Rattus norvegicus: one gene and its partners. The protein of the gene in region 7 interacts with the protein of the main gene of each other region in a biochemical or structural test. Links are inferred from orthologs where the notes say so. Each region holds a gene or a part of one and is shown on either strand. Other genes may lie near its edges. The genes, in order: Ncoa6, Nr0b1, Ncoa4, Cdc34, Hdac3, Nr0b2 and Pparg.

What was found.
Region 1: the proteins of Pparg (region 7) and Ncoa6 interact in a test that uses a peptide from one of them, tested with the Homo sapiens proteins (2 studies listed by BioGRID). The link is inferred for Rattus norvegicus from reciprocal best matches to the Homo sapiens genes PPARG and NCOA6.
Region 2: the proteins of Pparg (region 7) and Nr0b1 form a complex in vitro, tested with the Homo sapiens proteins (2 studies listed by BioGRID, with this or other methods). The link is inferred for Rattus norvegicus from reciprocal best matches to the Homo sapiens genes PPARG and NR0B1.
Region 3: the proteins of Pparg (region 7) and Ncoa4 form a complex in vitro, tested with the Homo sapiens proteins (2 studies listed by BioGRID, with this or other methods). The link is inferred for Rattus norvegicus from reciprocal best matches to the Homo sapiens genes PPARG and NCOA4.
Region 4: the proteins of Pparg (region 7) and Cdc34 form a complex in vitro, tested with the Homo sapiens proteins (2 studies listed by BioGRID). The link is inferred for Rattus norvegicus from reciprocal best matches to the Homo sapiens genes PPARG and CDC34.
Region 5: the proteins of Pparg (region 7) and Hdac3 form a complex in vitro, tested with the Homo sapiens proteins (3 studies listed by BioGRID, with this or other methods). The link is inferred for Rattus norvegicus from reciprocal best matches to the Homo sapiens genes PPARG and HDAC3.
Region 6: the proteins of Pparg (region 7) and Nr0b2 form a complex in vitro, tested with the Homo sapiens proteins (2 studies listed by BioGRID, with this or other methods). The link is inferred for Rattus norvegicus from reciprocal best matches to the Homo sapiens genes PPARG and NR0B2.

What each region holds. Positions count from the first base shown.
Region 1 is NC_086021.1:164,364,079-164,367,927, forward strand, and holds part of Ncoa6 (nuclear receptor coactivator 6), read right to left. Parts: intron 3,816-3,849; coding exon 840-3,815; intron 1-839. UniProt on the Homo sapiens protein: Nuclear receptor coactivator that directly binds nuclear receptors and stimulates the transcriptional activities in a hormone-dependent fashion. Coactivates expression in an agonist- and AF2-dependent manner.
Region 2 is NC_086039.1:54,706,098-54,710,511, reverse strand, and holds the start of Nr0b1 (nuclear receptor subfamily 0 group B member 1), read right to left. Parts: upstream 2,855-4,414; 5' UTR 2,848-2,854; coding exon 1,674-2,847; intron 1-1,673. UniProt on the Homo sapiens protein: Nuclear receptor that lacks a DNA-binding domain and acts as a corepressor that inhibits the transcriptional activity of other nuclear receptors through heterodimeric interactions.
Region 3 is NC_086034.1:7,405,161-7,409,009, reverse strand, and holds part of Ncoa4 (nuclear receptor coactivator 4), read right to left. Parts: intron 2,091-3,849; coding exon of another isoform or gene 2,077-2,090; coding exon 1,936-2,076; intron 421-1,935; coding exon 280-420; intron 186-279; coding exon 97-185; intron 1-96. UniProt on the Homo sapiens protein: Cargo receptor for the autophagic turnover of the iron-binding ferritin complex, playing a central role in iron homeostasis. Acts as an adapter for delivery of ferritin to lysosomes and autophagic degradation of ferritin, a process named ferritinophagy.
Region 4 is NC_086025.1:10,670,808-10,675,267, reverse strand, and holds the start of Cdc34 (ubiquitin-conjugating enzyme E2 R1), read left to right. Parts: upstream 1-1,660; 5' UTR 1,661-1,678; coding exon 1,679-1,855; intron 1,856-4,055; coding exon 4,056-4,142; intron 4,143-4,242; coding exon 4,243-4,340; intron 4,341-4,460. UniProt on the Homo sapiens protein: E2 ubiquitin-conjugating enzyme that accepts ubiquitin from an E1 ubiquitin-activating protein, and catalyzes its covalent attachment to other proteins by an E3 ubiquitin-protein ligase complex. In vitro catalyzes 'Lys-48'-linked polyubiquitination.
Region 5 is NC_086036.1:30,023,856-30,027,704, forward strand, and holds part of Hdac3 (histone deacetylase 3), read right to left. Parts: intron 3,022-3,849; coding exon 2,932-3,021; intron 2,835-2,931; coding exon 2,776-2,834; intron 2,527-2,775; coding exon 2,447-2,526; intron 2,152-2,446; coding exon 1,994-2,151; intron 1-1,993. UniProt on the Homo sapiens protein: Histone deacetylase that catalyzes the deacetylation of lysine residues on the N-terminal part of the core histones (H2A, H2B, H3 and H4), and some other non-histone substrates.
Region 6 is NC_086023.1:151,061,424-151,066,042, reverse strand, and holds the start of Nr0b2 (nuclear receptor subfamily 0 group B member 2), read right to left. Parts: upstream 2,884-4,619; 5' UTR 2,850-2,883; coding exon 2,309-2,849; intron 104-2,308; coding exon 1-103. UniProt on the Homo sapiens protein: Transcriptional regulator that acts as a negative regulator of receptor-dependent signaling pathways. Specifically inhibits transactivation of the nuclear receptor with which it interacts.
Region 7 is NC_086022.1:150,172,169-150,176,017, forward strand, and holds part of Pparg (peroxisome proliferator-activated receptor gamma), read left to right. Parts: intron 1-1,100; coding exon of another isoform or gene 1,101-1,108; coding exon 1,109-1,328; intron 1,329-2,647; coding exon 2,648-2,817; intron 2,818-3,849. UniProt on the Homo sapiens protein: Nuclear receptor that binds peroxisome proliferators such as hypolipidemic drugs and fatty acids.

The DNA of each region.
Region 1 (3,849 bases), on a different chromosome or scaffold from region 7:
TATTAACCACCGATCTATACACCCGAGATAACTTGGACTAGTATCCAGTAATGCAATTCATTAAGAGGCCATGTCCAAAGGAAATGGGCAATAGCACTTAAACCATATCACCGTGTTTTAGGTCCTGTGCTAAGCACGTCATATGCATTACCTCACTGAAATCTTGTGACCATTACTGTCTCTACATTACAAAGGAGGAAGTGAAACTTGCCCCAGCCCACTGAGATGGTAAATGCTGGTAGTTACCAACTCAAGCCTATCTGACTCTTCCCCCTTCAGATTTTCCTTTGCTTATCACAAAACCTGGTTTTCTGGTAAGCTTTTCTGGAGCAATTCAAACAGAAAGGCCCCTGAGTTAGCATACAATGAGAACAAGACAAGAAGAACATGTAAGTCTTCATCATGGGAGGGGCATAGAGAGGTCGATGTTTACACTTAAGGGACTGTGCCAGGCCAGAGACTTAAGAGTATAGGCTCAACAAATATTAGACATTTCTGAGCTTCACTCTTTTCACCCACAGCAAGGAATAATGCTATATCACATGGTTGGTATACAGATGATGTGAGATAGTGTGTATGAAAAAGCTTTTCAAAACTGAGAAACATATACACATAAAAATGAAACATGAATTGATTCAGAAGCCAGGAAAGAACCATGTTAATGAATATAAACTGAACATGGGATTTAAAAGCCTATTTTTCAATGTACTTTCAGTAAGTAAGTCTACAACTACTGCCATTTTTCTTCCTTTAAGTAGAAAAGGGCTTGTCTTTCTCTCTTGTAGGGCAGGTCAGCAAAACACTGACACGAGGAGCTGATGCCAAGCTCAAGTACATACCTATGCTGGGTAGAAGCTCTGGATGGGATCCCACCTTCTCCTCCACTAGGCCACCTGCAAGTGGCTCAGATGTTATCCCACCATGATTGCCTTTTGTGGTTGGCGCTGTGGAGATGAGCTCAGAGGGTACCAATGTGGTTACTACAGAGCGTACACTGGTGGGAAGAGCACCGCCAGGTAAGATGGGTCCTGTTGAGGTGGAGCTTGGGCCCATGGGGCTAGAGGTCATTTTTAGGAGAGTGGGTGCTGAGGGTGTTGGGGTTTTACTGTCCAGCTCTGTGGAGCACTGCTCTGTTCCCATTAGCCCAGGAGTTGTGGTCTCTAGCCCTGGGCCTTCAGTTTCTCCATCTGCACCATACTGTTCTTCCCCTTTCTCCAGAGAGCCTGTAACTTTCTTACAAGCTTTGGTCAGCAAAATCTGGCCAATTTTGTCCACTTTTCCTTTGCCCTTACTGGATGAGACTGGGCTTCGCCGATTGGCAGAGGAGCCTGGACTATTGGCCAAAAGGGGAGAAACTACTGTGGTTGGTTGTGAAGAAGGCAGAGTGCTCTGGTCTGCTGAGGTGTTCGTCTGAGGACTAGCCTCATCTGGATTTAATTCTTTTACTTGCTGGACAGAAGGATTAGGAGCGACGACTGGAGAGGATGTACAAGGAGGGGAAGGCAGCGGAACAGGAGTGGCTCGTGAGCTAAGGACCAATGGCCGACCTGTCTGTATATTTGGAGCAGGACTACTGGAGGGGACATTAGGTGTTACAGGAGCTGAAGAAAATTTTATGTTCTGAGGTATGTGTAAAGGTCCAACAACTGCGACAGAGGGAGGCATCAGGCCACTGTTGGTTGTCAATGGGGTTGCAGGGATTGTGCTTGGCTGTGATCCTTTCATAACCTGAATTATTGAAGATGAATTGATAAAGACAGGTGTAATGAACTGAGGCCGGGCATTAGATTGAGCAGCTGACTGTCCCTCAGAAACCATAACTTTGTTACCCACGTTGGGCATCGTGACGACTGTCGACATCAATGCAGACTGCAAGTGAGTTGGCAGGGCTGCTGATGTGTTAGATGAAGTGGTTATGGGGTTGGAAGTAACAAATACAGTTATTTGGTTTGGGGGTAAGGGAGTAGAAATGGAGGAAGAGCTGACAGGTCTTGACATTACTGGAGGGATGCTTGGTGCAATGTTTGAGCTGACCTCACTCAATTCTGGATGCGCAAGGGTTGAACACGGCTCGTTACTGTGAGGTAAGTTTAAAGAATTAGAGGGTTCTTTAGAAGACGGATCCTGCAGTGTGGGAATGACAGATGCTTTTTTGAGGTCCTCTCCTGAAACTGCTGGAGGTGTTACTTCCAGATCTGTAAGCCCAGGGGGTTTAATGGTCACATTAGGAGCTCCAGAGTTGTCGAGAAGTTGGCTTAGTGATGTTGGTGCTTCTCTCATGGCAGGAGACATCAAAGTTTTGTTCTCTTCTACACTGGGGAGTTTGTTAGGATCCAAAGGTTGCCCATCCTTTTTGGACTGATCTTCGGGGACAACCATTTTAGCTTCTTGGATAGGGACTGCTTTCAGCTCAGTGTTTACCTGTTCCTTCCTCCCCTGGGAATTCTGGCAATCACTGTCCTGAGGAACATTCAAGCTCTCTTTGTTATCCTCAACAACAGTCCCCACTGCAGGCGCAGGCACGGTGGGATTCTGGGAATTAAGCCCATTATTGTTAGGAAAGCTTCCAGATAAAGGGGGATTGGCAAGTGGAGTGGGACCAACCAACACATTTCTAGGCAGCTCCATGTTCTGCAACAGGGTTGTGCTTGTTTGAGAAGCCAGAGTAAGTTTAGGGGCTTTTGAATTTTGCCTTCCAGGACTTGGGGTAGTCTTTCTACTGGACCCCGGACTAGACCTGCGACTGTTGCTTGGACTTGCCCGTTTTGTTGTTCCAGGATTAGACTGTTTTCCAGAACTCACCACCACAGAATCTAATTTATGAGCTTGTGGGGCAGCAAAGTTAGGAGGATTACTTACAGTGAGATTTGAAGGTGCTTGCCCAATGGCCTTCAGAGTTGTTGGATTTAAGCCCTGTTGATCAAAGCCCCTATTTAAGTTTGGCCTGGGAGGTAAAGGAATATTAATCTGTGGAGGGAAGAGTCCTGCTATGGAAGCATTGAGTCTTTCTGGAGAGAGACTGATTTCTGAAGGTTCTGTGCTAGGAGGGCGGTTGTTGGGCGTCTGAGGATAATAGGGTCTGGGGCTGGCTCTGTTTGGTGTTTTAGGCCTAGATGTTTGGGTTGGTGCAGCCACATTTGGAAAGTGGTGGCCATGGGAACTAGGCAAGGAGTTTACAGGAGGCTGCTGGGGAGTTGCACCTTGAGTTGCTGAAAGGGGAGATGGTCCAGGTTTGGGTCCTGTCATCATTAATTGATTCTGAGAAACTACTAAATGCGAGGGCATGTTACTTGGGCCTCCTGAAACAGATGGTACTTCACTGCCACCAGCTTCAGGAAGTGAGGGCATCTCTCCTAGTGGTGAGCTGGAATTCTGTGGGCTCTCCTGGTATACCATCTTTCTTGAATTACTTCCCAGCGGAGTATTCACAGGCATTGGCATCCTTTGTTTATCAGGTGACGGTGGCACAGAGGCAGGTCCTTGCAAACTAACCATGACAGGCACATTGCCACTCTGTTGCATGGGCACTCTTTGGGAGTCTGGGTTCAGAGGACCCCGTGGAGGATGGACATTTTGGGAGACCGGAAGCCTAATGGATTTGGGATCTTGCTGCATCATGAGCATCATCATCATCTGCTGCTGCTGCTGCTGCGACTGTGGCTGACTAGGTGGTGGTGGCTGCGGCTGTGGCTGCTGTTGAGGCAGTTGTGGTTGTGGCTGCTGCTGTGGTGGCTGTGGTGGGGGTGCCACATGCTGCATGAGTTGAGGAGGCATCTGCTGCAGTGGCCTCTGTTCAACTGGTTGTGTAGGATAACCTAAAACAAGCCCCCAAAATCAGGGAAGTTAGAC
Region 2 (4,414 bases), on a different chromosome or scaffold from region 7:
ATAGCATTCAAAGGTTAAAAGATGAAAATATCACAGAGTGAAAGATCAGTCAGAAGCAACTTTGAAACAGATTTGGTTTAAATGATGACATCATCTTTCTTACTTCTTTTACAAAATTCAAGGAGAGTACTTAAAAATCATGTTTAAAAATAATCATGGCGAAAATAACGGTGACAGAAAATAAGTAGGAATCTACTATGAGCAAATATAGCTTATAAAGAAAACAACAAAATCAAGCAATGCTTCTTATCTCGATTATATTTCTAATTAAGACAGCATCAACATCCTCCACTCTATACCCTGGCAGTCAAGTTTGGATACCTATTTGATTGTGTGTATTGATAGTCTCTCTAGGTCTACATAGAGATGGCTCTTGTCGAAAGCTTTCTTAAGCCAGATACACATTACTTTTCACACCACAGCCTCTGGCCCTTTCCTTAAGGTACCTATTTTTAACTCTTGCATTAAAAATTCTTTCTAAGATACAAACTAAGAGTTTTCCTTATGGAGTTCTCATTCATACTGTTTTGGTTGGTCCTCATTTCCAACTCCTCCGAGCATCTCCCTGCCCCTCTCCCCTACTTGTTCCCTTCCACCCACACAAAATGTCCCTTCCATGTAAGGGCAAAAGAGAAAAGGACTCCACAGTTTACATATCTCCTTACTTTTTCTTATGCCCTTATGTTAAAACCCATTGATATGTTTATATATAATTTTAAAGCTCTGTGTCTTTGTCAACTGTAAGGCTTTAAACATAAAGACAAGAGAATGCAAAAGGGTAATCAGGAAAGAGACCACATGCTTTACAGACCTTGAATTGTACACAAATGTGGGTGCATTACTCTTTAAAAGCATACAATCTGGTGGGATAAACTCCTATGGAGAGAGTACTGGGGAAAAGAATAGAGGAAGAATAAGAGAGGGATGGAGAGAGACGGGAAGAGTGGTGAAGGGTGACAAAGGATGTGAAACAGGGTCAAGGCAAGTGGCGAACTACTGGAAATACAGACTTCTGAAGGCTGAGACCTTGGTCTCGACTTTGAATCTCAGCAGAGCAGGATTAATAGCATTGGCTGAAAGAGAAACTGTTTCTCAGATGACCTCAGATATCACCTGAGCCACTTGAGGATTCGGACTTGCAGGATCTGGGCTGGGCTGAACTAATGACTCTTAAGGGGAGGAGCTGGGGAAAACTTAACATACCCTATCCCCTGCAGCACACATCAGGAGCCCTTTAATTGGCAAATTTGGAAAATGGGGATGTAGGAAGAGCTGTGTGAAATGAGCAAAAGCTTTTTAAAAGTTATGTCACTGGATTTAAAGGACGGCTAAAGAGAGAAGAGTCAGTCATGTCCCATGAAGGCAGAAACTTCTGTAGCAGCAGATAATAAACGTAGAGAGCTTACTGTTCACACACACACACACACACACACACACACACACACACACACACCCCTACACCACCACCACCCCCAGTGCCAAGTTTCTGGCAGAAGCTCACCCACTTGACCACTTGACTGGCCATTCCAGATGTATGCATCAGCTTTTCAGAGTCAGTCACAAGTAACGTGGACTCCAAAATTCCTATAGCCACTGAAAACTCATAAATGCTTGCGTGTAGAGGTGGTGCTTTTCTGACCTGAAGAGACAGTGTACAAATTTGTCATGCTTACCTGGGTTAAAAAGCACGGTCCCCTTCAGATAGGCGTACTCTTTGGTGTCAATGTTCAGACTCCAGCACTTAAAAAAGAAACTCTTGATGGCCTGGACCGCAGCGACTGAGAGCACGTGCCCAGCCTCCGCAGACACCGTCTGTGGCTGCTCTGTGGCCTGGGGATCTGCGGGCTCTGGGCCTTCGGTCTCCTGCCGCCTGGTGGTGAGCATTTCGTGCATCAGGTTGGGCTCGGAAATCTCCATCATCTCGAAGTGCAGGTGATCTTGGGCCAACTCAAGCATGAGTAGGGGCGCCCAACAGCTCCGCACCAGCACCAGCTGCTGATCTAAGGGCAGGATCTGGAAGCAAGGCAAGTACTTGACAAAGCGCAGGGTCTTCAATAGGCCAGCCGACGCTGCCTCGCACACCACCTGTGGATCCTTGAGTGCAATCGGACGCTGCACACCAGAGGAGGCGTCCCACCAGGGGGCCCTCGGCTGCTCTTGCGGAGCTGCTGGTGTTTGATCTGCTCTCACGGGCGTGTCGGAGGCAACGCTGCTCTGCTGGGGCTGCTCTTCACCGCACACATAGCTACGGTACAGGAACGCCATGGCCTGTGTGCTCTGAAGCCCCTCCGGGCCACCCACACTCTGGGTACAGTAGGACAGCTGCCACCACTCGCCTCCGCGATGTGCCTCGGGTACTTCCCGAGACACGTGCGTTTGCTGGGCACTAGTGAGCAAGCTGTATAAGATGCTGCCCTGCCTCGGGTGCTCTTCTCCGCAGAAGCAGCAGCGGTACAGGAGCGAGGGGACCTGGCCAGCTGGCAGCCCCTCTCTGCCCACCAGGGGCTCTGCGCTGCTGCAGGCGCAGCCCCAGCAAGGAGCTCTGAATCGCGCCCTGGGCGCCTCGGTCGCCCCGCTAGGCTGCCTGGCGTTGGTGAGCATAGAGTAGAGGATGCCACCCTGGCGCGGGTGGTTCTCCCCACAAAAGCAGCAGCGGTACAGAAGGGACAAGGCTTGCCCGCCGGGCAGTCCCTCCCCACCCAGGACGGGCTGAGTACCGCAGGCGCAACCCCAGCACTGAGCCCCCAAGCGCACCTCTCGCTCTTCCCTAGACCCGTGCTTCTGCTTCGCGCTCATCAACAGATTGTAGAGGATGCTGCCCTGCCACGGGTGGTCCTCACCCGCCATGGCCTGAGGCTCCTGCAACCCGTTCTGCCCAGTGGCCGCCGCTTGGGACTTATTTATACTGAACGCTCACGCAAGCGCATCCGCCTCCTCCGCTAGGACAAGGGCGCAGAGGGGGACGCGCTGTTGCGCTTGAATGTGTGTGGCCATGACCTCGGAAGTTCAAAGGGGCAAACACTCCCTAGGATCTGGAAATCTAAGGGGAGCGTCTCAGCACAGGAACTGGCATACCGCCCCCCTTCTGTCTGGTTACTCTTCTGGTTACTCCTTCCCCTACCTGGGAAAGAGGAGAGCAGCGAACCTCAGGCAGGGAGTTAGGGCTCTGTTCCAACTCTTGCAGTTGGACTCCGACAGAGGACTCCGACCTCTAACTTATTTCCTTTTCTGGAGAAAGACGTGCTTAAACGGGAGAAATAGCCCATTTCTGTGACATCTTTATAAACTTTTATAGAATGATCACAATTTTTATAACTTGCGTTTTGTATAATGTTTGCTGAGTGTGTTCTCATTTCTTAAGATGTTGAAAAGTGTAGACCCCAGACACGTAGAGTCAGAATTACACCCGGAGGCAGAAATGCCTTCTTTTGAGCGCTAGCCAAAATATCTGAGTGTGAGTTGTAAAATAATTCACCCCCAGGTTACACATATGCACCTTACATTTGAAAAGCATTGGCAGAAGCAGGTAATAATACATCTTCAGTTTAATTCGAGCAATCACCCGCTTTGTCCTAGATGCTGGATCAAAGAGCTGGGGGCTGCAAACATTATGTACTTGTAGCTGACTCCTAGGAACAGACTAATCACAAGATTGTTACTGTGAGAACTTCTCATACTCTTGTAGAAGCAGGTCAGTGATAACTGTCCCTGTTCCCAACCATTGTAAGATACTAACAACAAATACAAGAATCAGAAAGCCTAAATGCTAGCATTTGTCACGGAGCTTCCCACCTTTAGTCTCACTCAAACAAGAGACCAGGGGGCTCTTTCTATTCAACTATGTGACTTTTGTACGACTAGCCAATTCTTATACCCACTAGCCCCATAACTTTGAGAGTACAAGCCGTTGCTCTTACAGAACAGGAAAGGGGACCGGAACACACTAATTGATATGGGACACCCCTCTCTGTCCCGTTCTCCCTCTTCCTCTTCTACCTCCGCTATCCAATTCTGTAGGAACTACTGAAGTGTAAGAAAATTGGGGATACCCTCAGTTTTTTTTTATCGTTTTATTGTTTTAAAAATTTTATACATACTTGCTGACAGTGTCCCTCCTACTTCCATAGGTTTGTTTATTTATTTATTTATTTATTTATTTATTTATTTATTTATTTATTTATTTTAATATTTGTCTTGTTTGGGTAGCCATAGCTGTTATGTGTTCAAGATTGCAATGGTTGTATAATGTCCAGAAAACAGAGTTTCATATTATTCTTCTCCTACATTCCCTTTGCATCTCTTATACGATGCACCCCAAGTCTTGGAGGGTTGATAATGATGTCTCATGTAGGGCAGAGTATTCAGCAGTTAATTTGTATTCTGCCTGTGCTGACCTCTATGGCACAAAGGTTTA
Region 3 (3,849 bases), on a different chromosome or scaffold from region 7:
TTGAGTAAAATCCAATATGTGCGATGAGTTACAAACCTGACTTGCTTTTAGGCCTACTAGGACAGACCAAAGTCAAAACAAGTGAAAGGTCGTTACCTCTCCAAGCACAGCGCGACTTGATTGGCAAGATCCTTGTTCTGGGTAATCTCCAGTTGATGAATAAGACAATTGAATTGGCCCATTAGCTACAAGGAAAATGCAAACATCTAGCCACAAAGATATTAAAAGTAGGACAAGGCAGAGACGCCCACTGAATCTGGAGCACCCCAGGCACCTTACCCAGTACAGCTGCTGAGCCTGCTGCTGCAGCGTCTCCTCCTTCAGCTGATAGATGAGATCCACCTGCTCGTTGAGCCACACCTCTCGGCTTCGAAGGCATTCCAGGTGGCGACTAATGCAGCTGTGAATCTGAGCTTTCACCTACGAAATGCATGGCAGCATAAACTGAGTGTAATAAGCCAAAGAGTCACAATTCCCATACAATGCTCGCGCTCTTAAACTTCTGAGGTCAGAAATCCTTTATTACTCACGGACCACTGTGAAGGATATAGTATTCTTTTAGTATATACTCAACATTTGCCTACAATTTCAGTGATCCCATGAAATCCTTTGAATCCTAATAAAAGAATCCAAGCCAAAAAGGCATACCTAACTTCTAAACTCCTTCACTCCTCCTCCTGAGAGGATCAAGGTTATCTGGGGTATCAGTGATCAATAGGAAAACATATGCCAGGGATACCAATCCCCTCAGCTTTCCACATAACTTAGAAATACAGTCCTAACAAATTTATCATTGATAAGCTTAGTGGTGAACACCTTTAATCCTGGCATTAGGAAGACAGGCAGGCTGATCTCTGTAAGTTCGAGTCCAGCCTGGTCTACAGAGCAAGTTCTAGGACAGCCAGGGCTACGAAAGAGAAACCCTGTCTCAGAAGAGGAGAAAAAAAAAAAAAAAAGCAAACAAAAGAAAGAAGAAAAAAAGAGATATGCTAGCTAGTCTGTGTCCTTTTTCCACATGCATGGAATAAACAGTCCTTTAGAGTAAGCCAGAAAGCAAGGGGACCGTTAGCACTGATAGTTTAGGTTAATTATAAACTAATGTTCCTAAGAAATGTATATAGAAATTCACCTTTTGTCTATACAAATATTTTGAGGGAAAAATTCAAAACATCTATAAATCATATGGCATCCAAAGTATATCATAAAAGTTCCCCCTTCAGAAAAAAACTGTTTTCTAAGTCATATAGAGCTTGAAGCACTCACCAGCAGAATGCTACTGGAACTAACAAATTTCATTCTGACATGCAGAGTGACAGTCATTTAGAGACTGCACCACTTAAAATCATGTTACCTACAAGTTAAGTGGGGACATAATGAAGTGGCATTTTTTATGTATCAAGAAGGTACAGATACCCTGGGCACTGTGGCGCAGGCCTTTAATCCCAGCACCCAGGGAGGCAAAGGCAGGTAAATCTCAGTGAGTTCATAGCTAGTCTGGTCTACACAGAGAGTTCCAGTCAGAACTAGACAGAGACCCTGTCTCGCTCAGTAAGTAAGTAAATGAATAAAATGCAGCGAGGCAAATACTGCTTACTCTGTTACTCTGTATGACTGGGTACAAGAACCACACAAAGGAGCAATGGAAATCGCATGCTGAATGGCATTCTACAACTAGGCTCTCAGATTCTTCCAACAGGAATTATTTCCCTGTGAGATCGAAAGCTCTAACACACCAGGCAAAGGAGTAGAAGAGTCAAGACCATTCAGGATATGGGATCAAACCTGATGGTGTTGTAAGACCCTTGTTTTTACAACTTTGTTTCTTGTATCTATGAACTTAATTTCTTCACTGGGTGGCACTGAGAAGTCCTTTCCTGCGCTCTAACCAGCCTTGTGCTACAGCCCGATCAAGGACTAGAAAAGCACACAGCACACCTCTCGTAGATTATCTTTCATTTGCTGCTCGGCCCGGAGGACTCCACCAATCGCAAGCTCCAGCTCCCTCCTTGCATCACTGCACCTCAGAAGTGTCTCTCTACTACTGCAGCAGCCACTCTGCTCCAGGGATGTATTCATTCTGCTCACTGTTCCTTCAAAGGAAAGAAAAAAAACCAAATAACACCATGATGACATCCCCAAAACATAATTCAATCATGGCCCAAAAGGTTTCTCCAGTCAGCTCTCACCACTAACAACTTTGATTTCCAACACATGTACTCTTAATACATACTGCCTCCCTTCCTCACCAACCTGTTTCTGCTAGGTGGAGAGGGGGCAGAGGCAGGAGGATCTCAGTGAGTTTGAGGCCAGCCTGGTTAAGAGAGAGTTCCAGGACAGCCAAAGTTTCAGAAACCCTGTCTTAAAAAAGCAAAAGAAAGGAGGGAGGGAGGGAAGGAGAGGGGATTCTGACTACTTAAGGACCATCTACGTGTGAAAATATATCTGAAAAAATACACTAGTGGTCCTGAATTAGCAGAACACAGGCTAGTGAAAATGTCAGAAGAACATTAAGCCATCTTTGATATACTTCCAGGGTGCAATCCCAGCACTAGGTAGGGGAGGAGACCATGGCAAGCAGGACTACATAGCACTGGTTTTGAGACTCTGTCTCAGAAAAAAACAACAAAACTAAAACAAAATCACCAATCATTAACAAGTTTCTGGACTACAGATGTGGCTCCATGTAGAAGTAATTCTCTTACCACCTGTGAGTCCCTGGGTTTTATCCCTACCACTGCAAAATAATAATGATAACAAAAATGGACTTGAGATATAAAAAGGATGTAAAGCTAATTGTTCTGGTTCCAATTCTGTCATGAGTTTTTGCATGTTTTGGTGATAAAGTACATAAAAATATATTTGATAGTGAAAGTATAAAATCCAAGATAAAACTACATTGCTTCAGAATTGCTATTCAAAACTATTTACCAAAAATAATACAGATTTTGGGTTTGGTTAATTTTGGTGTGTGATTTTGGATATTTGCAAGTATTTGCAGGAAAGTTTTTAAATGAGTGAAAATTTCTATGCACTTGACGTCATAAGGCACTTGTATCTGTGGACTAGGACTGAGATGTATGGGAGGAGCCCTGACTACCTTGAAAACCATCTGCTGGCAGTAATTTAAGAGCTTTAGTTAAACGCTGCTCAGAGATGGATTCTGAGGCAGGGAGGTTAAGTTGTCATCATGGGAGCACAGGGACTGCTCAGTAGTTGAGTGCTTGATCCTCTGAGAGAGGATGGAGTTCAGCTCTCAACAACCACCTGTAAGGACAATGAAGGCGCATGCCTGAAACCCCTGCCCTCCTAAGTCAGAGGGGGCAAGATTAGAAACTAAAGGTCATCGTCTTCAGATACACAGTAATTTGGCCAGTGATAGTCATAGGCCAAAAGAGGTCACCAGACCTGTGTGTAGTGTTTTTGTTTGTTTGTTAGCTTGTTTGTTTATTTGTTTAATGAATAACCTGTTTTCTCTAATTACTGGGACTGAAAACATAAAAGGCAGACATTAGACACAACACAGATCTGTGACAGAAACAAATTCTAAAACTATTTCTATGTAGCGTTAAACATAGTATAGAAAAAAAGAACTTGTTTGCATTGAAGGGTAAGGACAGCTAGAAAATGAATAAAAATAAATAAAAGATGGAAACGTTATTGGAAGGGAATTCTGACTAGGTACTACTACTGTCCTAATATTCGGAAATGTTAATTCATGGGCTATTTGGACGCATTTGTCACAAGCTACTTGGTCCTGTGATTATTAGGCTGAAATTATTTCTGAGTAACATGCTATGGAGACATTCAGAAAAGGGAAGGAGGCCTCAAAACCGTAAGGGTGGAGGGGAA
Region 4 (4,460 bases), on a different chromosome or scaffold from region 7:
AGCCAGGCCAGCACCTTTCCCAGATGCTCAACCCCCAGCATTCAGGATGTCTATGAAGCTCAGGTACAGGCTCCCCTGGCAGTAGGGAGAAGTATGTTCCAGGTGGAGGGAGGGAAACCCTGTCTGTCTGTACATCAAGAGCTTCCTAGGTGTAGGCTGTGCGAGTGGTCATCTCAGACAAATAGCCTGGGCTATTTGCTATGTGCTGACAACTAGGTGACAGTGTAAGGTGGGCAATCTGGCCTGGACAACAGGGAACAGATGATACTGGAAGCCCTTGAAAAAGGAGTATGACCAGAAAGCTTTCTAGCCCAAGGGCCCAGAGTTCCCAGGGGGAGGACAGGCAAGTGGCATTGGATCCTTGGCTCTTCCTGGTCACATCAACCAGCCCCACCTTTGACACTGTTTCCCTATCCCCAAACAGGTCTGCCTGATATCCCCAGCCAGGACAGGATGTTGGCACACCTGTGGGGGGTTACGGGGCGGGGGAGCTGCCTTTTCCCAGCCCCAGTTATTGATGCAGCTGTAGTCCTTCAGGACACCCACAGTCCAGCTGTGTGAACAACACAGCCTAGGGCCAGAACCACCCACCCCTAGAGGTCACGGGTACACCACACACCTGTCTGCAAGGCTTGAATATGCTGCCACCTCAATACTCATGACCAAATGTCCAAGAAAGGAGTGTGGGTGTCTATGCCGGTCAACCTCGGGGACTTTGCGTGTCTGTTCCCGCTCCTGTAACTTTCCAGGATGCCTCACCACTGCTTAAGCAGGACTAGGGTGTGGTCAAAGGACAGCCTGACATGAGAGTCCTCCCAGGGTAGAGGTTAGCACTCCACCCGCTGGAAGCCAGGTCTGCAAACCCCAAATCGTCGATTCTGTGGGCCCTCCTTCTACCTGAGCCCATAGAGACAATATAGGGACATCCATAGCTTCATGATGGGAAACTAGGGCGGATCCTGCTCCGCTCCCGCACAAGCCACGCCCAACTCCCCACCCACAACCACGCCCCCTTGACGTCACAGAAAAGGCCCCCAAAGCCGCAGCTGCCACTCCGCAGCGCGCAGCCCAGCCCTGCCCGCCACTCCGCACACAGGCATCCGCGGAGCTCTTCCGGCCGGAGGCGACGGCGGCCTCCGGGGCTTCGGAAACGCAAGGCGCCTGCGCGGCAGGGCGGGGGAAGAAGACTACACTTCCCGGCGTGCCCCGCGGGCGGGCGCGCAGACACATTCCGGACCCGGTGGAGGCGTCGCACAGGCGCATTCTAGACCCGGCAGTGGCGCGCAGGTGCATTTCCGGCCCGGCAGCAGCGGCGCGCAGCCGCATTCGGGGCCCGGGTGTGGCACGCAGGCGCATTCGGGGTCCGAAGGAGGCACGCAGGCGCATTCGGGGCCGGGAGCCGGTGCGCAGGCGCATTCGAGGCCCGGCGGCTGCGGCGCGCAGGCGCGTTAGGCGCGGGCCGGGCCGGGCCGAAGCGAGCGCCGGGCGGGCAGCGGCGCCAGAGCGAGTGGAGCCTTCGGGGTCCCCGGGTGGTGGCGGCGGCGGCGGCGCAGAGGAGGAAGGCGGCGGCTCTCCCCCTGCCGGCGCGCGACCCGGTCCGTCCCGCGAGCTCGCGCCGGTCCCGCGGCCCGGCCCGGCCCCGGCCCCGGGCCCCTCCGCCGCCGCCGCCGTCACCGCCATGGCCCGGCCGCTGGTGCCCAGCTCGCAGAAGGCGCTGCTGCTGGAGCTGAAGGGGCTGCAGGAGGAGCCGGTGGAGGGCTTCCGGGTGACGCTGGTGGACGAGGGCGACCTGTACAACTGGGAGGTGGCCATCTTCGGACCCCCCAACACCTACTATGAGGGCGGCTACTTCAAGGTGAGCCGAGCCTCAGTTTCCTCTTTGTGCCTGCCTCTCTCCCAGGCTGGCTCAGGCCCCTCGTGCAAAGCGGCCCCTCCCTTTTTTGTTGGGCACGTGCTGACCTCACCCCGGGGACTGGTCTCCCTATACTGTTCTCCAGCAGGCTACATGACCAGAGACAGCTAATGTATGCCGCACCCCCAGGCAGACCCCCACTACAAGACGTAGGGGCCTCTAGAGCCTGCTGCTGGTCAGTGTGTTCCCAGGCTGTCGTGCACTGGACTAAGCATGTACCTGGGGATGTATCTCCCCGTGTTGTCCCCACTCTTCCAACATGCTTCTGGTGAAGGGTCTCCCCAGGGACAGTTGCTGGCCTTCTTGTTCCGGTGTAGTTCTCCCCACCACAAGACGCAGAAGCATCTGGAGCCCTCTGCTGGCAAGCATGTTCCCAGGTTGTCCCTCACCCCACCAGCATGTGGTGAAACCTGAAAAGGTTCACCTTAGTTTGTCCATATCTCAAGACATAAAGGACCACGGGCAGCTGCTGGCTGACATCCCCAGGCCTGTCCCCTACCCTGGAACACAACCAGAGCAGCCACTGGCCGATGTGTCCCCAGGGAAGAGACGTGTAGCCTGGACAGCCACCTGCTCCAGTTCCAGTAGAGGCCCTGGCAGGGCCTTGGCAGCCGTGCCTGTTGGACAACAGCCACCTTTAGCACTGGCCAGGCTTCACGTAATGCATTCAAGGGGGTGGTGGGGGCCCACCCTGAATCTTGGAGCCACACCTTGGGTTCCTGCCAAGGGCCCTGGACCCTAGAGCTCTCTGTTTGCCCCACCCTGACAGCCTTTCTCAGGTTCCACTGAACAGGTGGAGTCTTAGGGGCCTGATTTTTCCTTCTAAGGGGTGTCGTCTGCCCTCTGGTGGCTTCAGGCTCAATGCACCAGATGTTTTTGTGGTTGGGAGCAGGGAGGCTTAGGCAGCCCCCAACACTGAGTATGTTTGGCCAGGTATAGGTACCCATGTCAGCACAGTTGAATCATCCTGCCTGCCATGGACTAGAACTAGCAGAATCACAGGATCTTATGTTAGGGCCAAAGGTGCACGCAAACCCCAGCCAGTCTGGGGCCCCAGATGTAGGGCCGTGGCACTTATTTGTTCTGCGTCTTCCTTTGTGGCTGATGTCCTCACCCTTCTTGGTCAGTGCTTAGGAAAGTCACAAGTCTCCTTATGCAGGGGAATGTTTGAGTTAGGGTTTCCAGGTACAGCATGTGGAGAACGGGAGGGAGACACATGTGGACACCCTCGCTTCCCACCTGGAGGTGGTCTGAACTGAGCCGCCTTCAGGACATGCAGATGCTGTTAGCACCTTGTCTCCTGTGTTTGCGGGGGGGGGGGGGGGGGTGCTCAGAGCAGGGTCACCTGAACTCTTCCTTGCCCGTAAAGGATTGTGGGTAGAGCCTCCTAGGCTCACATTGTTCTTGAGGTAGCTTAGGAGGAGGCCCTGCATGATGTCACTCAAATCCGCCAATGTAGGAGCTTCCTATATGGTGTGAGTGACTGAGACGTGGGGAGTCTCTGTAGGAGGGGAGCTGTGAGGAGCTTCTCTGGACAGCCCAGCCTGTCTCACTTGAGAGAACCCTTCCTGTTCTGAGCCTCAGTCTGCTCATTCTTAGAAGCATCTGGAGCCCCAGAAGTGTGGGGTGTTGTTCCAGCAATGCCACCTTCCCCATCTGCTCTCCTGAGAGGATCGGGGTGGCAACTCCACACTAGGTTTGTGTGCGCCAGGCAGAACACTGGAAGCTGTCCTTGGGGAGCTCCAAGACTAGGGCAAATCTCAGGCCTTCTCTATCTGTCCAAGGTCGGGGCAGTGGGCAGGGTGAGCTTCAGCCACAAGCAGTTGCTGTGACCAGGCAGATGGTTCCAGCTTGTCTGGTGACTACTCTTGGCCTGGGCCCCTGAGCTTGGGTGGTGTTGGTGGGAGGCCTGAGGCCAGGCAGACCTGCTGACTCACTCCTCTAGCTAGCCCACACCTTTCCTAACCGCCTTGCCTTTCCTAACCTGGATGTCAAGTCACAGAGGTGTGCTGTGTGTATACTGGTGTACAAAGACTGGAGTTGGCTTCAGGGCCTGTACACCAGCGGCAGGTGGGCACAGCCCCTGACTCCAGCAGTGCTCGGGGGCCTGCCATTGAGCCACCCCATTTTCTGCCATCTGTAGGCTCGCCTCAAGTTCCCCATCGACTACCCATATTCCCCACCAGCCTTCCGGTTCCTCACCAAGATGTGGCACCCAAACATCTATGAGGTAAGACACTAGAGGCCTGCTTCAGGCACACTCCACCACACACTTCTCTGCCTCCCTTGCACATGCCCCACCCCTCCTCTAACCCTGGTCACTCTTGCAGACAGGGGACGTATGCATCTCCATCCTCCATCCCCCAGTTGATGACCCACAGAGTGGGGAGCTACCCTCAGAGCGGTGGAACCCCACGCAGAATGTCAGGTGAGAATTGCCATGGAACTGCACCGTGGGCACCCGCAAACACCCTGTACCCTAAGATCCACCCTTCCCTGCTCCAGTCAGGGGTTCCCAGAGTCTGGGGAGCTGAGCTTGCACCTACGG
Region 5 (3,849 bases), on a different chromosome or scaffold from region 7:
TTAGGGTTATGCAGAAAGTAGAGCCAAAGTAACTATAGATGAAAAAGCCAAACCCAGACAAAAGGAGAACTTAAAAACAGATGTCGCCGAACCAACCTAGACAATGGTGATCAGCTTCTAGAACTCAGGCTTTAGAGAGCTGTAGACAGATGCTAAGGAATGGATGACTAGACAGAGCCTGAACCAGATGTTTAGATACTTCCTCACCCAAGCCAGGGAATGGGGAGGCATCCAGGGAAGAGGAGGACTAGAAAGTCCCAAGGGTCAAGACCAAGTCCAGAGGACAGAAATGGAGGCCAAAATTCTGTGACCCAGAACAGACTCAGGAGGAACTGAGATGTCACCACAGCTGCAGCACAGCCAGCTTCAAGCCCATGACAGAAGCACAGCAACTCAGATGGTCTCAGTCCTGCAAATGCATCTGGTCCCTACTAACCCCATCTCTTCCATCGTTCTGGGTTCGGTTGTCTGTTGTCCTTTCTCATCATTTTCTAGAAATTTCTTTGAGGATTAACAAACAACAAAAAGATCTATACTAATCTTGCCTTATTTCATTCTAACTATAAATATTTCAACATAGATCTATGAAGATAAAGATTATTTATACATATACATGCACACACACACCTCACTCAATACAACTCATAAATCTAGAAAAATGAACTAAACAAATGTAGAAACCCTATAAAAGAGAATGTGGGCAGTGGTCTACTGTTCACTGCTCAGAATGGAGTAAAATGCTGGCAAACGTAAATAGGGAGCGAGAGAGACAGCTCAGCAGTTAGGAACACTTGTGGCCATAGAAAAGGACCCAGGTTCTTTCCAGCACCCACAGAGCAGCTTACAACCATCCTCCAGTTCCAGGAGATCTGACACCCTCTTCTGACCTTAGCAGGCACCAGGTACACAATGGTGTACTTAAATACATGCAAGTTAAACACCATACACATAAAATAAATCAATCTAAAAGTAAATAAAAGATTTTTCTTAAAAAGATGTAAATAAACCACTAAATTCTTTCTGGAAGGTAATTTGGCAACATTAGAAAAGTTTTACTGCATATGCCATTTTCCCTACAGCAACAGTTATGAATATATATACATATACATGTATATGTATATATATACACACACGCGTGCGTGCACACACACACACACATATATATGTGAATATATATATTTTATATATATATATATGTATATATATATATTCAGTGCCGCAGTCCTTATTGTTTTAATAGCCACAAAAAGGGGGGGGTGGGGGAGTGGGATGGAGAGTAACGTAAATATCCACAAGTGGTAACTGACTGCCCTTGTGATCATGTGGTCACCACACAATGGAATTATACAACTGAGAAACAATGATCTCTATACCGACATGGCACACACCCTTTCAAAGAAAAAAACAGGCAAACACAACTCAGAGCAACATATAGAAAATATCCTTACTCATAGTAACAAGAACTTTATAAACAAACTGGGTAGCATTTAGAAACCCGAGGCAGGAGGATTATTATGAGCTCAAGGCCAGCTTGGGCTATGATAGTGAAACCCAATCTCAAAAATACCAAGAAAGAGCAAGGCATGGTGGTGCATGTCTTTAATCCCGGCACTCATGAGGCAGAGGCAGGAGGATATCTGATTTATAGGCCAGCTTGGTCCACACAGAGGAAACCCTATCTCAAAACCCAAAAACAACAGCAACAAATCAAGAAAAATAAGTAACTGTAGAAATAAAATTCTGAATGTGCACACGTGCATATAGTGTTCTTATAATCTATAGAAATTACCTATCCAAAACCACATGAATCAAACCATAAATAACAGTTACTGCCATGGAGTAGTCCTGAAACTATGTAAATACAACACATTTTGATGTATCTAAAAGGGTCAAAAGAGAAAAAAGCTTGCAGCCTAAAGGAAATCAGCCAGGGCCAGGCGAACTCATGCCTTTTCTGCAAGCCTGAGGAACCACCCGCTCTCTGGCCCCAGACCTGCTGTAGTTCTCCTCAGGACCTCTCTCTTCAGCATCGGCCTCGTCAGTCCTGTCATAGGTCAGGAGATCTGCTGGAACATCATGAATCTGGACACTGGGTGCATGGTTCAGCATCTTCAAGTTTTCAAAGATGGTCTGGCGGATCTGGTCTAGATACTAGTTTAGAAGAAAAGAGTCAACAGTGCCAGGGTGATTGCCATAGTACATGAAATTCTATCCGCCTTCTACCATGACCATCCTGGTTTAAAGTAGTATTTCAAGGTCAGATCCTCAGTTAGTGACTGTCCCTTCCCAGCAACCCAACTGTTTGTCCTTTATCCAGGGCTACCACATGATAAGAGTGACAGTGACAGCCCAGAACTTCCTTCCCTTGCTCTCTCCATTTCCCACCTCCGAGACCTCTCCTGAGCCCGCCCAGCATTGCTGTGTCCAGCTTCCCCAAGATGCTAACCTGGCGTGAGTTCTGATTCTCGATGCGGGTGCTGACATCTGGATGGAGCGTGAAATCTGGGGCAAAGTACTCGAAGTATTCTTAGAGATGAGAAGCAATTGGGAGAGGGATGAACGAGAGTATGGCTGAGATACAAAAGACTGAATCCCATGGCTTTCCGATCACCTCTCTGAGTCCTGGTCCCCATGTGTAAGAGTATTTGCTCTGCTCTGAGCACAGGGGTTTAGTCTGCAGAGCTCCCAGAATGTGCAATTTCCCTTCAAACAAGGTCATTCTGAGGACTGGTGAGAATGGGCCCCCTGTGGGGGGCATCATGAAGTGGACCTTACCACTATAGGGAAGTTCCTCACTAATGGCCTCTTCTACCAGCAGAGATGTTTCATATGTCCTGAAACCAGCAAGCAGAGGGGTAGGGCTGAAAGGACCACCCCTCCAATTTCAGGGAGTTTATCATGAACTACAGAGGAGCAGAGTAGAATACTCACCAGCACCGGGCAACATTTCGAACGGTGTAACCACCACCTCCCAGCACCAGGAGAGGGATATTGAAACTCTTGACATATTCAACACATTCCCTGTTAGAAGCAACAAGAGGACTAGGTGAATCCAAGACACGTGACCACCGATATGCCTTGAAATACTGGAGGAAGACTTGACCAACAATATTTCTCTGTCCTGTTGTGTAGTATAACTCAAAGTTGCATTCTTTGGGTGTGACTACTTGTACAAATGTGTGAGTCTTCATATGTGTGCCAGTGCACGTGTGTCTGAGGATGTGTGCATGTGTATTCACATGCTAGAAGACATCTTCAAGTGTTGGCCTAAAGGCACTATCCATTTTTTTTTTTTTAACCTGGAACTTTCCAAGTAGGCTAAGCTGGCTGGCTACCAAACCCTATGAATCTTCTGGTCTCTACTTCACCAGGGCTGGGATTATGGATCATAAATGGGTACCGCCAGGCCTAGTGTTTTCACATGAGCTCTGGGATCAAACTTGAGTCTTCATGGTTGTATAGCAAGCGCTTTTACTGAGGGTGCTATTCACCCTGTCCCCATCTGATATCCTCCTGCCTCTGAGCTGTGCGCTCAGGATTAGAACTCCTTGGGTAGTATTGCTCAACATGTGGGCCAAAACCATGGGAAAGCACAGAGTCCCAGTGGTCTTAGGAGACACCACTCAATAGCAAGATGACAGTTATAAAATGGCAAGCAACAAAAATAAAGTTATAGCTGGAGGGTCCTATGTGTTTTCCCCTGGTTCAGACCCACAGGTTGAGAACCACTGCGTTAGGGCTAAAGCGCCATCTCAACATTAGTGTTTACTGCTTTCCTAGAGGCCAGAGTTTCAGTTCCCAGCACCTACACCGGGAAGCTCACTCCGATAGGTAAATTCCAATACCCTA
Region 6 (4,619 bases), on a different chromosome or scaffold from region 7:
CCTTGGCTAGCTGGGTACCAGGGCTCCAGGACTTCACACAATGCCCAGTGAGCCTCCTGTTGCAGGTGTGCAATGTGGCAGGAGGCATGGAGGCCTGGCACATCTGTGGCAGAGAGGGTAAAGAGGGCCGGTGAGCATCTAAGTCTGTGGAGGTTTGCCCAGGGTGGGAGAATGTTAGCAGTTCCCTTCCCTCGTATGCTGGGGTGCAACTCAGGGCCTTGCGAATGCTAGTGTGCACTAGGCAGACATTCCACCATTGGGCTGCATGTTGATAGCCCCTTTAACATACTAGGGAAGTGGGCTGGAGAGATAGCTCAGTGGTTAAGAGCACCGACTGTTCTTCCAAAGGTCCTGAGTTCAAATCCCAGCAACCACATGGTGGCTCACGACCATCTGTAATGAGATCTGATGCCCTCTTCTGGTGTGTCTGAAGACAGTGACAATGTATATAAAAAACATACTAGGGAAGTACATCCTCAGCTCGTAAAGCCAGGAAGTTAGAGGACGGTTTTGTGGCGGGCGCTGGGAATAAAATCCAGGTCTGTGAGGCAATCTCTTCACTGATGAGTCCATGCCTTGGTCCCCTCTGCCACCTCGGAGGCCCCACCCACTGTCTCCTTCACTATTTACCACTTATCCATCCATCCACTATGGAGAGCAAGCAGATAATGTGGATGTAATGACGAAGACACACGGGCTGGAGAGATGGCTCAGTGGTTAACAGCACTGACTGCTCTTCCAGAGGTCCTGAGTTCAGTTCCTAGCATCCATGTTGTGCTTTACAAGTCCCTAGAACTCTAGTTTCAGAGGATCTGACGCCCTCTTCTGACATCTTTGTGACATCTCCTTGACAGGTGATGTGTACATATGCACACGCATGTAGGAGCTCATAAAGTAATGTATAAATAAATCTTTTTATTTTTACTTTTCATTTGATTTTTTTTAAAGACAGGGCATCTCTGTGTAGCCCTGGCTGTCCTGGAACTAGTTCTCTGACTGGGCTTGAACTCAGAGATCCCAGTGCCTTCCAATGCTGGAATTAAATGCTACCACCACCTGGCTAAATAAATCTTTTTTTTAAGATTTATTTATTTTATGTATACGATTACACTGTAGCTTTTCTCAGACACAAGAAGAGGGCATCAGATCCCATTACAGATGGTTGTGAGCCACCATGTGGTTGCTGGGATTTGAACTCAGGAGCTCTGGAAGAGCAGTCAGTGCTCTTAACTGCTGAGCCATCTCTCCAGTCCCTAAATAAATCTTAAAACCAAAAACCAAACCACCCCAAAACAAAAACAAAAAAAACCCAAAAACCTAACAAACAGAAAACAAAAACAAAAACAAACCCACCAAAAAACCAGGGTTTGAATCTCAGTGCAGCCACTTACTGGCTGAGTGACCTTGAGTAAGTAATTTAATCTTTCTGAGTGACCTTCCTTAAATGAGTACTTTAATCTTTGTGCTTCAACTTCTTCATCTGTCAAGTGGGGATAATGACAGTTCTGGTCACCCACACCTGTTATGAGGTTTAAGCAAACCAATATTTGTAAAGCCCTTAGACTGAGTCCTAACATATGGTAGATGTCATGGGACTAGTTGGGACGCCTACTCCTATGACGTGACATCGTACTTTAATTTCAAGGTCCGTCTCTTGTCTTCCTCAAAGCCACGAGGATTATTCTCCCAAGCTAGGCCATCTTGGTCTACGCAGTGAGTTCTAGACCAGCCAGAGTGACATGGTGAGACTGTGTCCCAGTTCTCCCTGTCACCCCATCACTCTTCTCCTGGCTTGACTTCACCCCACTCCCATACTCTCTCTCTCTTCTTCTCTGAGTGGCCTCCCTGAACCCACGGTGGACCTTCAGAACCTCACTATGCAGCCTGGCTTTGAAGATATATCTGCCAAGCAGCCATGTCCCCACCCCATCTACCCTCCCACACTCCCTAAGATGCAGGCCAAATTTCAGGAACCATGGCAAAAAGTAGTCTCTGCATTAGCTTGGTCTGCAGTCCCAGCTGTGTGACCTTCAGGTAGTGGCTTAACCTCTCTGTGCCTCTCCTATGAGGTATCTATTTTTTTTTTTTTTCTTTTCTATTTTTCGGAGCTGGGGACCGAACCCAGGGCCTTGCGCCTGATAGGCAAGCGCTCTACCACTGAGCTAAATCCCCAACCCGAGGTATCTATTTTTGAGGCTAAAAAGGACCCAAAGGTACAATGGATGCCAAGTCCCAAGAAAGCACTTTCCCTGGATGAGCCCTGTCCCCTCCCACCTTGGCCACCATCCAGGAGTGTCTGGAAGCTCACCTGGGTTGAAGAGGATAGTGCCTTTCAGGTATGCGTACTCCTTGGGACCCAGCTCAAGGCTCCAGAAAGACTCCAGGCAGTGCTGCAGCCACTGCACGGCAGCCAGTGAGGGTTGTGGTGGGTCTGGTGGCTGGGCACCCTGGGCACCACTGTTGGGTTCCTCTAGCAAGATCTTTTTAAGTATGCTGGGGACCGGAGCCTCGGCCACCTCAAAGGTCACAGTATCCTGGGCCAACCCAAGCAGGAAGAGAGGGCCCCAGCAGCCCTCTAGCAGCCGTCGCTGATCCTCATGGGGCAGGAGGCAGAAGGACGGCAGGTTCCTGAGGAAGGCTACAGTCTTGCCTAGGACATCCAAGGCCTCCCTGCAGGTGCGGTGTGGAGCACACAGGCGCACAGGCCGGTGTTGCTGGCACAGGCAGTGGCTGCGAGATGCGGGTGCCATGGGCCTGGTCCTGGGACCGGGGCTTAGAAGTGTGTAGAGAATGGTGGGGTGGCTTGCAGAGCCCTGGCATGGGCAGACCCCTGATTGGCTGGAGCTCATGGTCTGTGTCTTGTTCCTGTTTCTTCCTGGCTCTGTGGCCCTCTCTACGGAGTGCTATTTATATCCTTGATGGGCGGGAGGGGGACTGGCCAAACAACCTTGACTCCAGAAGTCATGTTCATTGAAAAAAAAAAAAAAAACCATACACACACACACAATGCATACACGCTGACCCTGGCAGGACTGGTGGAGAAGTGGTGGGGGAGGGGCACTGGAAGCTCCACGTGGCCTTGCTATCGCTTTAGTCAATGAAGTGGCCATTGCAGGGCACAGGGCCACCTGCCCACTGCCTGGATGCCCTTTATCGGATGACTCAAGTGTATAAACAGGGTTATTAACCCAGGCTGTACCAGGGCACCAAGGTCTCAGGCGTTCAACCAGCCAGGGGCTGGCCGTGACTGTTGTTTCTATTGGTGGCCGTTTTCATGTACACAAGACCAGGGTTCTCACAGAGCCAAGGAGCCAGCCAGGGAGCTGGCTAAAGCCTTGAATACAATACCCAGCCTGGAAGTGGCTTATCGCTGCTTTGTTTGCCTAACCTTGGGGCTCTGCTCCTGTTGTCGGTAAGGAACAGGCTGTAGGGAAGGGAGCCAGGTCCCTGGGGGACTTTGTTCACTGTACAGTCTAGGAGGCTGCCCTCCTGGGACTCCAGGACATGAACCCCTTTGGGAAGAAGACCTTTCAGAGCCCCTGCTCCCACCCTGCATTCCCATAGCTTCACAGAGGCTGGATCTGCCCTTGCAAAACCGAGGGCCTACATGGCTAACATTTAGTAAGGACCCCCCCAACCCCCCCACCCCCACACACTTGGTGTGGGTCTCGGTCCACTGTAACACTGAAGACTTCATTCTTACTCTGTGACACTCTGGAGGTGAAGTGACCTACTCAAAGTCACTCCGACGGGGACAGAGCACAGGTGCATCTGACCTCAAAGTCATCTTTGTTTGTTCCCCTGGATCAATTGTGCAGCCGAAGTGTGAATTTCCCAGAACTGGTGGCTAAGAGGCACCCCCCACCACATACTTGGTCTGCAGGTATGGCCTACCTGTGGTATGGGTAGAAACACATCTCTGCTAGCACATGACTCCTCTGTCTTGGACATTTGTCTCAAGCGGTCAGAGGTGAGGGACAAGGGACATGGGAGGGCCTCAGTTGTGTCGGGTTCCTGACCTTGGCTAGCCTTGCCTAGCAGGCTCCCTGTTGCCACATTCTTAGGCAACCTGGTGCTGTGGATAAAGAGAGATCTGGCATCCTCTGCCCTGGCATCTGGTTTAGGCTCCACGAGTCCCACTCACAGTGTGACTATCAGCTTGTCTCCAGTGTTCAGGGAGCCCCCCCCCCCATTTTATGTTTTTTCTAGACAGGGTTTCTCTGTGTAGCTCTGGCTGTCCTAAGAAATTGCTCTGTAGATCAGGTTGGTCTCAAATTTACAGAAATCCACCTGCCTCTGCCTCCCTAGTACTTAGGTTAAAGGCCCATGCCTCCCCCCAACCCCCAGCTGAGCCTTGGTATCTTAGGTGAGACCATAAGGTCTTCCTTCCTGTGGTACTGATTTAAGGACAGAGCAAAGTCCTGTGTAGACTATGAGACTGGCACCTGACTCTCTTCATCCCCAAAGACAAGCGGGCACACTGCTTTCACTGTAGTGGTGGATATCCTCAGCTCAGGTCCTGTTGGAAACGAAAGGACAGTCAGGGAGCGAAAGGAACAGTCACAGTGAGAAAACGCAGATGCACATGGACTGATGAAGCTCAGTGAGGTGGTTCGGGC
Region 7 (3,849 bases):
ATCAGTAACAAAACACCAAAGATCTTAGCCCAAAACAATGCGCAAAAGCTATTCATGGCTATTCATGAAATGAAAACACAGAAATGGTGAAAAGGTGCATATAAAATGTTCAACATCACAAATCCCCAGAGAAAACCAAATCAAAACTACAACAATACACTGTTCCACAACTGTTAGAATGACTAGTACATAAAAAGAAGAAAGGATATAGGGCAATGGAAACATTTTTTAGTTATATACTATATACTGTGCAGCCATTATAGAAAACAAGTAGAGATTTTCAAAAACTCAAATGTAGAATTTCCGTGTAATTAGCAGCCCCACTGCTAGAAATATGGCCAAGAAATAAAATTACTATGTCAAGATTTCTATGTTCCTTTGTTTATTATGACACTATTCTCTATAGCCAAAACATAAAATTAACATAAGAATCTAGGACATATAAACAAGTAAAAGTAAACAAAAGGCTCAGTGGTATATATAGACACACAAATACAAAATGCACATATATATACTAACATGCACATAAACAAACAAGTAAAAATAAACAAAAAACTCTGTAGTATATATACACACATGCAGAATGTACACACATGCACATACATGCACACACACATACACATACATATAATGGAATACTGTATGGCCATTAAAAAGGAGAAAATTCTGCTCCTTGTAGCAATATAGATGACTCAAAGGAACACTACACTAAGGGAAATGAACTAGACGCAGAAAATGCCACACACTCTTGTTAGTTGCCAAGGACTAGGCATAGGGAAAATAGGAAGACTGGCCAGAGTTTCCATTAGGCTCTGGAGACCTGATGGACAGCAAGATGATTAGAGTTAGGAACACTATATCATATATTTGAAATTTGCTAAGGGAGCAAATCATAAGTCCTCTCATCTCAGAAACTCAAATAAAGTCTGACTTCCTTCTTACCTGGATGGTGCTAGAAAGGCAGTCATGCACTCATCCCTCATAGGGAAGTTTGAGTGAAATGCTTTATTAAACTCATTCAGCTCCCTCTCTATATGTCCTTGAGGACTGCTCTCTCCTCCAGAACTTGACTCATATCCTGTTCTTTCTTTCCACTTCAGAAATTACCATGGTTGACACAGAGATGCCATTCTGGCCCACCAACTTCGGAATCAGCTCTGTGGACCTCTCTGTGATGGATGACCACTCCCATTCCTTTGACATCAAACCCTTTACCACGGTTGATTTCTCCAGCATTTCTGCTCCACACTATGAAGACATCCCGTTCACAAGAGCTGACCCAATGGTTGCTGATTACAAATATGACCTGAAGCTCCAAGAATACCAAAGTATGTTCCCTTTTCAAACTACTAGGGCTGGAATTAGACAGTCTCTGAATATCCTTGAATAAATGCTCTTGAGATCAGCACTCTGAAGAGAAGGCGTCTTTACGCAGTTGTTTATCTACTATACTTAACCTTCTAGATGTCTGTGATAGGCCAAAAAGAAGACAGAGCAACAGTGTTCCCAACCCCCCCCCCCCCGTTTCTTTCCTATCTTGTTTCTGTCTTTGGAACATTTTCTAGGGTAATTACATTACATCGACAGTTTTGTCTTAGGCTAAGAGTCCATCATGTAAACTTTGAATTCTCCCAGCCTCTTACTAATAAGTCACAGTTGCAGGTCAACTTACATGACTCATCATCGCTAAGTTACAATTACAATTAGGTTTTCTTTCTAATCTGTAATTTGTAAAATTTACCTCAAACCCTAGTTTGGGGCATAAACTTACATGTTAACATCGTGGCTGATTGACAGATCATCATGTCATTAAGTAAATTGACATCAAACATCAGCCTCAAGAAAAACCAGAACTGAACTTTTCAAGATAAAGGATCATTTCTGTGGTGCTGTTTCCTTGATTTTTATCTTGTGGGCCAATGTGCTGGTTTTCCAGAGTCACCCCTGTGTCACAGGCAAGCATTACTTGATAATAAGTAAGAACTTCCTGTAATTTCTAGTTGTTTTCTTTAGATAGAAAGTATACGTGGTTGTATTTATCTGTGTGGTTCTGGGTTAGAGCCTAATATGGAAATGCAACAGGTCTGAGCTCCGGGCAAACACAGTACTTGCTTCACATGGGTTCTCCTGCTCTCTATCAAAGATCTCTTTACAAACCACCTATTGACTCAACCCTGTTGATAACCTGGCACCTCAGGCTGGGCGCACCATGGCATTTTCTTGCCCATGTTCCTTCTGTATTTCTTTTGCAAGAAAAATTTAAAACTATTTCTAAAATGCACCATTTCAATAAAACCCATAGTAGCAGAATGAATGCCAGATGTGGCCCATTCCCTTGCCAAATATGTTGCACCTCTTCAAACCCTGTGCAATGTCTGTGGGGAGTGGCAGGGGGACACACTTAATTTCCTCCATTTTAATTCCCTTCCTGCTTTATTTGTGCAGGTGAGGCTCTGGGGTGTAGTGACTTGCCTGAGATGATAAAGTCTTACTTTTTCCTATCGATGTTTCTTCATGTCCCCCAGCATCTCTCCTGAGACAGTAAAGTTATGGCATGAAAATCTGAAGGCCACCATGGAAAGCCACGGTGCCTCTTTAAGATTGTTTGTCATGAGATAACCATCTTCTCGAAATTTCCCATGCACAGGTGCGATCAAAGTAGAGCCTGCGTCCCCGCCTTATTATTCTGAAAAAACCCAACTCTACAACAGGCCACATGAAGAGCCTTCAAACTCCCTCATGGCCATCGAGTGCCGAGTCTGTGGGGATAAAGCATCAGGCTTCCACTATGGAGTCCATGCTTGTGAAGGATGCAAGGTAAAAATACATTTTAAAAATCATCCTAGAATTTTCTGCAATTTTGCCTCTCCCATTTCCTATTACAAACTCACTCAAAGAAATTAAGATAAAGTTATGGGCTTTTTTTTTTTTGGCAGAACTCATTCTTCAAGTAATATAATATTTGACAATCTAAGAAAAGCTAATAAAAGCAGGGTTACTCTGCCCCTCTTCCCCTTCTCCAAAATGATTCTTTGAGGCATCTCAATGCATCTTGCAGAGGTTTTTTTGAGAGGATTTACCCAAGGTATCACAGCAAGATAGTGAATGGTAAGCTAGTACTAGGACCTAAATTTTCTGATTTCTCTAGTGTTTTTCATCAGGCTATATAATCTCTTAAACAAGTAAGGCTTGATAGATGGTATATGTATATCACTTGACCCGTAGACAATGCTGCAATATTAAGCATGTTTCTACATTAGAACTGTAGAAATTGTGAATCAAAGGCATGGATCACTTGGGTAGGAGCTTCATTTATCCCCAGAACTGCGAAAGGAAAAACAAAACTATGGGTTAGAGAGGCTGGTCCCTACCAAGCCCTAAGATAGCGCCGTTCCCTTAGTCCAGCAGCAGACTAAGCCTTGAGTAATGGAAGGGCAAAAAGCAATAGCTGAGCTCTTCCTCTGTGAAGAGTATTTTAGAAAGTAAAGAATATGCTACCCCAATTATAAGGAAAATAACTTAATATATTCATGTTTTTATATATGGTTTTTAAATGACTTTAGCATTCTCAGGGATAAAATAGCATCTAACTAATCATGTTCTGGAAGTCATAGAATACATTGTTTATCAGTATTTACCTTATAAATACTGGAAGGTGTGGTGGTGTGTGCCTTTAATATTAGCACTCAGGAGCAGACACAGGAGCATCTCTGTGAGTTCAAAGTCAGCCTGGTCTCCATAGTGAGTTTCAAGCCAGCCCTGTCTCAAACAAAGTAAAACATAAATAAATGAAGTAAATACAACTTCACTTGAGCTTTTTCTAGAGACTAAAGATGAAGCACACCAGGT